Rhinolophus ferrumequinum: one gene and its partner. The protein of the gene in region 1 purifies or fractionates together with the protein of each later gene. This does not show direct contact. Links are inferred from orthologs where the notes say so. Each region holds a gene or a part of one and is shown in the gene's direction. Other genes may lie near its edges. The genes, in order: TRA2B and RNPS1.

The links.
Region 2: the proteins of TRA2B (region 1) and RNPS1 purify together in Homo sapiens (affinity purification with western blotting; 3 studies listed by BioGRID and IntAct, with this or other methods). This does not show direct contact. The link is inferred for Rhinolophus ferrumequinum from reciprocal best matches to the Homo sapiens genes TRA2B and RNPS1.

What each region holds. Positions count from the first base shown.
Region 1 is NC_046285.1:59,569,053-59,572,963, forward strand, and holds the start of TRA2B (transformer-2 protein homolog beta), read left to right. Parts: upstream 1-1,027; 5' UTR 1,028-1,353; coding exon 1,354-1,389; intron 1,390-3,911. UniProt on the Homo sapiens protein: Sequence-specific RNA-binding protein which participates in the control of pre-mRNA splicing. Can either activate or suppress exon inclusion. Acts additively with RBMX to promote exon 7 inclusion of the survival motor neuron SMN2.
Region 2 is NW_022680357.1:3,985,386-3,989,296, reverse strand, and holds the start of RNPS1 (RNA-binding protein with serine-rich domain 1), read left to right. Parts: upstream 1-1,490; 5' UTR 1,491-1,625; coding exon of another isoform or gene 1,626-1,627; intron 1,628-1,718; exon of another isoform or gene 1,719-2,019; intron 2,020-2,432; exon of another isoform or gene 2,433-2,442; intron 2,443-3,911. UniProt on the Homo sapiens protein: Part of pre- and post-splicing multiprotein mRNP complexes. Auxiliary component of the splicing-dependent multiprotein exon junction complex (EJC) deposited at splice junction on mRNAs.

The sequences.
Region 1 (3,911 bases):
GGGGGTAATGAAACTGTTCTAAAATTGTGGTGATGGTTGCACAATTCTGTGTATATAATAGAAACCATTTGAATTGCACACTTTAAATGGGAGTATTGCATGGTATATGAATTACATTTCAAAAAGCTCTTTTTGAAAGCCAAACGGATTTTTACCGCTACCAAAGTACCTCACCAGCCAGTTTCCCAGCCAGTTACTAGAAGGGAAACAACAGGTGCAGAGAGGTTTCGACTTCCAAATTTGAGCTCTTTCCACTGCAGGGGCACTAAGACACCAAGACAGTTGATCTAATAGCCGGGATGGCTAAGTCACCAACCAGCGGGGAGCCCTAGACAAAGAGATGATTCACATCCCAGGCTGGATAGAGCAGGATGGCAGATCTTCACACTACTCAGAAGGGTGCACAATTTAAAATTATGAGTTGTTTATTTCTGGAGTTTTCCATTTAATATTTTCAGTCTACAGTTGATCATTAACTGAAACCGTGGAAAGCGAAACCACAGATAAAGGGAGACTATTGTATACCATGCTGTTGTTTGATGGCAGAATTAATCTTCCCTCCTTGTGACATCACTATAGATGTGCATGCCTATAGCACTTAAAATCAAGTTTACAACTGTGTATTTAGAATAGAGATTGTGAACAGAGATTATGTGTAACTTCAGTGCATCAAGATCGGTCAAGTGCTTTGCTATTTAATAGGTGCTCAAATGAAGGTTTATTCAAGAAGAAAAGATCTATAACTATTCTAAATAAATGTAAAGCATAGAACCCAGCACATGGATATCGTTCCTCTCCAACCAAAACGCGCAAAAAAAGACAGAAATAAAGCGGAAAAAAGATGGGAGAAACTGAGGGCATCTCTTTCCCCCCCTTTCCCCTGCCCACGACAGTTTCCCAGGAAAGCTCCACAAGGGAATCAGGCATGACCAGTGACATCACTGCACCCCGCGGCGCTATCATTGCACCCCACCTCAACCACCCCACAGGCCAACCCACCAGGTCACTTTTCCGCTTCACAGAGATCCAGATGTGGGTGAGGCCGCGCGAAGCGCGGGGCCTTACGTCACATCCAGTTCTCAACGCGCCACTGCTGGAAAGGGAAAGCCGAGGGCTGAGGGGCGGAGCCAAGAAAGCGCGCGTTCTGGGAGGGGGCGGAGCCGGCTTAAGGATGCCACGTCACGTCCGGGAGCGTTAGAGCCCGTGTTGAGGCGGTGCGGAGCAGTTCGGTTACCAGCGGGTTGGAAACCAGTGTGTTCTGGGTGGCTGCGGCGGAACCTCTGTAAAGAAAGCAAGAGGTTGGCAGCTTCGATTGAAGCACGTCGAGCTGAGCGGCGGCAGCAGCTACGAGTCATGAGCGACAGCGGCGAGCAGAACTACGGCGAGCGGGTACGTAGAGGTGGTGCAGGGGGCAGCTGTGTGGTCCCAGCTTCTTGCGTCTCTTTCTAGGCCCGTCGGCCTCGGACCGGGAGACGGGCGATTTAGACTGAGAAGTCTGAGGCCGGGAGGATGGGAGTCGGTTTTTAAAAGCCTTTGTGGATAGTGTTTTTAGCCGTGAAGGAGACCACAGGTAGGTTTATGTGGCCGTGTACCCAAGTCGGCGGTTTTTTCCGTTATAGGGGGGATTAAAGATGGCCGCTGCGTCCCCTCGGTGTTGGGGGAGGGGAGCGGATCTTATTTCGCCGTTGCTCTCCTGCGAAGGCTCGCCGCAGCCATCTTGGGCTGGCGGGCTGGGCGCGCTGCCAGAGGCACAAAATGGCGGCGGAGCCGCGCGCCGACGCAGGCCAGGCCGCGCCTCGCAAGGCCGCGTGGGGCGGGTGCGGAAAAAACAGGCTACGTTGTTTGGGGCCTTTTACCCGATGTTTAGGTTAGGAAAGGGTCGTCCTGTGGGCCCCTAAAGGATGAAATCTAGTGTGTTCTTGGGACTTTTAGGCTGGGGAAAACTTAACTGAGGCCGACTAAATTCTAGGCCCGTTAGTATGAGGGGATTGTGCGTGGGCTTTATGTTAGGCCTAAGTCGAGTGCTTTTCTTTGATACTGAAAGGGCTTTCAAACCAAATAGTACCCAAATAAAATGGACCGCGAGGTCTCCATTTTAATCATTTTATGGAGTAGATACTTTTCCACTGGATTGTGTAGGAGAAATTGGCGGGCAACGATTTATAGCGCCGTTATTTCCTTTGTTTTGAGGTATTCTGATTCTGTGGACCACAACTAGTGCTTTTCCGTATTTTTAAGTCTCTATCTCCCAGATTGAGGAGTTCGGTGAGGGTTAATTAAATTTTAGGAATAAAAGTTCCCAGCGTGATGTAAAGCTTGGTTGCGGAGTGGGGGGTTCTACTGAAGATGCCACAGTATAAGGCTTGCCCCCAAGTCTTAGATATTTGAAGGTTAAGGAGAATTTGTTAGGGTGATAAAAAGCACCGTAGAACTTGATCGGAATAAGTTGGATTTTTTTTACAGTTTGTTAGGTTTTTCTTTTTAAGTCTCAATAATAGGTAAATATATCCAAATACCTTAGCAAACGCGTGTGAAACAGATTTGGGGGCGGTTTAAAAGTAAACTGTCTTACCTCTTCGTACATTAATGAACTTATTCTAACTTTGGAGCCAAATATGTTTAATTTGGTTTGAACTAATCAAGCCTCGCCTTTACATATTCAGATAAATACTGCCTTTTTACGTTTTTTCCCTTAAGACGATTATAATGTCACCAATGTGCGATTATTTTTTTAAGCTCTTGGCTATGTTACGGTAAGAAAGTTTGGATTGGGCTCACAAATTGTTACGGCTCTGACTTCTATTAATAGTTTCTACCAGTTGAATATACTGTGGAAACTAGTCACTGGTGGTTGGACCGGTAATGGAAAACAATTTTAAGTCCTCAGTTATTAAATAAAATTATTGGGTACTTTTGCACTATTTAGGGACTGCAAAATGACTGGCTTATGATTAGCGGCGCTCTCTATTGAATATACCCGAGTAAGTTATTTGTGTCGGTGCGCTTGTGGAGATGAAAAATTGCCCAAAGGAAAATAAATTAGTATATTTTACATTAAGGGAGGAAACAATGTAGGAATTAGGTCCTGGTTTGAGGCAGCTCAAGAGATGTCAAACCATTAAAAGCTTTTGAAGTGGTTGTATTTTCTTCTAGTAGGGTATATACATCCCAGTGTTTTTCACAATGCTGCTACATATAATAGCTATCAACTAAATTATTACAGAGTGAGAGAGAACTACAGAGTAACTTAAAACTACATATTAGAAACTAATAATTTTTTCTTATCTAAGAGTCTTGACTTCCTGGAAGAGATTTTCTAACCTGAAGTTGTGGGGTGCTTCCATTTGGTTTGGTGTTTGTTTTGTATGTTGATTGCTTTCAAACTAGCCTTTTGGAACCTGAAGTTGTTAGGATAGACCTAAAACACGTGATGGGTTAAAAAGAATGCTTGGCAAACCATAAAGGTCAATGGAAAAATTAAAATAAAATGCCATAAAAAGAGCTAGGTAGAACGGTCAGGCCTGATTGGCTAAAAATTTCCTTTTGGAAGTGCCTGAAAGCTGAAAAAGTTGCATTCAGGGCAGTAATGTTGCCCTGAATGCAACTGTAGCCTTGTAGCCTTCCTGGGGCCTGAAAAATTAACTTTTATTCCACTTGAGGCTCTCAAACATTCCAAACTGTTCACATGTCACTAATAGAAATCTAATCAGTTCAACTGTAATCTCCCCCTCATTTATCTAAATCTTTAATAATCCTGACGGACACACACCCACTGTGACTTTTTTTCTAATCCTTTAGAGGTTGGAAGTTGTTCCTTCCTAAACAGTGGTTGTGTGTGGGCAATAAATTAAGTTATCCTCATTTTGGTCACTCTTAGAACTGGTTTAGCGTGTCCCCTTGGCTGGTTTTAA
Region 2 (3,911 bases), on another chromosome or scaffold:
TTCCGCTTACCCCTCCATGCCTGGCCTTGGCAAATGTGACAGTGATGCAGAGAATTTAACTTGCTCTAAATGGCCCCCCTGCACCCCTCAAATCTAAATCCAAAGGGAGAATCCTGACCCAGACTGATGCTGCCTGCTGACCCACCACCAGAAACATGTTGGTGTCTCAGGGGAAGGGATTCAGGGGCAGGCTGCTCCTCCCAGGCTTCTCTTGACCCCAACTCCTCAGACAGCCCTCAGACCAGGGTGAGTGAGGTGTTAGGGGCACACGACACCCCTGGACAGGGCCAGAGGTACTGGAGGACGGAAAGGAGTCACCATCCACTGGCTGAGAATACCAAGTGAAGCAGAGAGCAATGACTTGCAGAGAGCGTCCACAGCACCATCCATCCACCATGTGTCACTAAGCATGTCCTTCCTGCTGACATCTGCCTCCAAGTCACATAGGTTCCTTCCACCAAAATAGCACCTTGGATCTATTCCCTTCTCTTCCTTGCTGCACCTACCAGTTCTGACAAGGTCTGGGACTGGGTGCACCCTTCTTCCTCCCACTAACAGTCATGGAGCAAGGTCCACTTGCCAGGCACGGAAGGGGGCGGGGTCTGGAGGGGGTACGCGGGTTGGCACAGAGTTGAACAAAACCCAAAAGCCTAGCCCTCTCAGCTCCGGGTTTTACTGGACAGCTTCCCGCCTGGGCCCAGGCCTCTCACCCCTCCTTCTGCCTTTGCCAGGAGGCTCGGACAGTGCCTCCCTGCCCACCGTCCACCGGCCGGGGCATGAAGCCTCGGCCTGTATCTTGCACATTCTCCTCGTCCCCGGCACCGCTGCTGCGAGCCGTCGCACTGGCCGCACCGGCCTCCCTTCGCTTCTTCCAACGAGCCTCCGCGTCTTTGCATCAGCTGTTCCCTCTGTCGGCGCGCCCTTCCACTCGGCGACGCTTCCCCGTATGCATCTTGTCTTCTACACTGCCTTTTGATCCCGGTGGGTGCCGGCCGCTCTGCCCCGCCTTATCCACCCCGCCAAGTTCCGCCAGCGCAGAAGCCACGTTGACACGGTCACTCCGCACATCATGAGTGGTTTTAGACCGCAGGAACCCATCCCCACACCGGCCCGGCCCGCTGAGCCGCCTCCGCCCTAGGGGTGCCCACGGCCGGCCGGCAGAGGCCGCAGCGCCTGCGAACCCCTCCTCTGCCACCAACCGGCGGCCCAGGGCGCGAAGCAAACCGGTACGAGGCTCGCCGCCCACACTACGGCCAGGCCCGCCGCGAGCCCAGTGCGCACGCGCAAGGCAAAGAGCGGGGCTGCGTTAACCCCCTCGGTCCCGGCCCGTGAGCTGCCCCCACGGCGCGAACCCCGGGCCCCAGCAAGCAGCTAATTTGCCGGCCCCAGGAGGCGCGCAGTCGGAAGCACCTCTCCAGAGAAGGAGACGGAGTAAGCGCCCCTTACACCGCTCGCCACAAACGGCCTCGGCCCTTAACACCGCGCGCTCGCGCCCATTGGCTAAGGCGTATTACGTCATCGCTGCGCGCCGAGCGGCGGCCTCTTCCCGCTCCCTCTTCCTGACGACAGAGCGGCGCCGGCATCAGCGGCCAAGAAGAGCGGGAGGAGGTCTGGGCGGCGGGAAGATGTAAGTGTGGGAATCCAACCCCATCCGAGCTTCGGGGGGGCGCCTGCCGGGCTCGGTGGGGTGCATCGTGGATCCGACGCGCTCCCCGGTCCCGCGGTGGGGACAGCGGCCTGGCGGCGCAGCTCGGGGTCCAAGAAGAAAGAGTGTGGCCCGGGGTGGGCGGAGTGGGAGGTACCGAGGCCGCGGCCCGGAAGTGGTCGGGGCCGCGGCGGGCGGAAGGGCGCCCTCGCTTCGTCCGCTCTGCGAAGGTTCGAGTTGGGCCCGCGGGACTCGGAGCTGCCGGGAGCGCGGCCTCAGCCCTCAAGGCCCTCTCGCCGGGCTGGAGACCCAGGCCCGCAACGCTGGGCCCTGCCCTGGAAGCGCTCGCGGCCCGGCGCCTGGACTGGGGAGTTGTGAGTGAACGCGGACGGGGTTGGCTAGGTCGCGTGCGGGGCCCGTGCCGTTGGGTGCGAAGTTGCTTAGTGGGGTGACCTGGAAGACCGGCTGATCCTCCCTTCGGGGCTATTAATTCAAACATTCACTCCAGGAACGTTTACCGGGCTCCTGTATGCCGTTCTCGGTGCTAGTCCTTGGAGATACGGCCCCTTGAAATCATGGAGCTCAGAAGGGAGCATACCGGACAGTTAAAATCAGTGTTGAAGAGACGTGGCTTTTTCTCTGATTTTTTTTTTTGCATGAATTGTGCCTAAAACACACTTTTAAATGGGGAAGGTGCTCCGAAGGTTTGAGCTGAAACGCCATTTGCTCGAGATTTAACTAATTGTTTTCTCCTCTCTCTGGCTGTTGGACGCGCACCTTTCCGGAGGATGGGGGAGGTAAACAAAGTCCTGTGCTGTTACCTGAACTTGTGTGAACAGAAACCTTCAACCTTTGCTTTCTAGCATTCGGCCACATCCAGCAAAGCATTCGTTTACTCGGTGGTTCTTAATCTTCTGTGTGTTTAAGAATAACTGGTAGTGCTTGTTTTCACAAAGGACATGGGGACAGGTCTTTAGGACCCGGGTGGGGCCTGGAATCTGGTCAATTCTAGGTCAACGCAGTTCAGGAAGGTAGCCATTGGCCACATAGGGCTTATCAAGCACTTGAAATACACCTAACCCAAATGAGGTGTTTAAAAGACTTGGAGAGCAGGGGGTTGAATATTTTATTTTTTATACTTATTACATGTTGAAAAGATAATATTTGGAGTATAGTGTGTTAACTTATTAGTATAGTGTGTTAACGTCACTGTTAACTTATGTTTTTTGTAATGTGGCTACTAGAAGATTTTAGGACATGTTTGAAGCTTAGGCACTGTTGGATGGTGCTGCTCAGGTGATCCCAATGGACGCCATCCAGGGACCCCTGTTGAGTATTTAGAGATATGTGACTTTGGAGACAAGGGTTTATGTGGGAAAGAGCCTCCAACTGTGGAGAAATGGCCCTTTCTTCTAACGTTAGCAAACATTTACGGTGCCTTAACTAGGTGCCAAGTCTTCTTCATGGGTTAATTTGATTAATGTTCTTTAACTATGAGATGTAGGAACTGTAATTGTCACCATAATACTGGTGAGAAATAGAGGCTCAGAAAGGTTAAGTGACTTATCCAAGGTCACACAGTAAAGCTGACTCAAGCAGGTTGACCCCAGACTCGCAGAACCACTGAATTATACTTACTGATTGTCCAAGGACGCTAACCTCATCTGGTGTTGTCAGGTTGGTGTGTATAGTAACTTATTGTTTTAAGGCAAAACACGTTAAAGATTTTACAGCCCTGGAAAAGAAGAGCAAGGGTGGTATTCTCTTCTCTTCCACTCAATTTGATTGTCCAAAGCCAGGCACTCTTTGTTGAGTCAGAATATTATTCAGCATTTTGGGCACCCCTACACACACAGAAACAGAATCCCAACTTCTGTGTGGTGTCCAGGTTACTTAAAGGCTATGGAGAAAGGTGGGAGAGAAGTAGGTAAGACTAACATCCTGAAGTCTTTGCTTACAACTCAAGCAAAGTGTACAAAACCTCACTGGAATTATGAGGCAAAATTATAATTGCCTCATATATTTGCCTGAGGCAGCACCCAGGCAAATATAGGGCACATGACGAATTCATAGTTCTTAAGTAATCTTACTAATGACCCTTTATTGAGCACATCCTGCAGTCCAGGCACTTTGCTAAACCCTGACGTGTGGTATCTCATCCAATTCCAATGTCTACTTTTTTCCCTCTGACATTTATTTTTGAAAGAATGTAAACATACTGAAAAGTTGAAAGACTTGCACCGTGAATGCTCACACAACCACCACC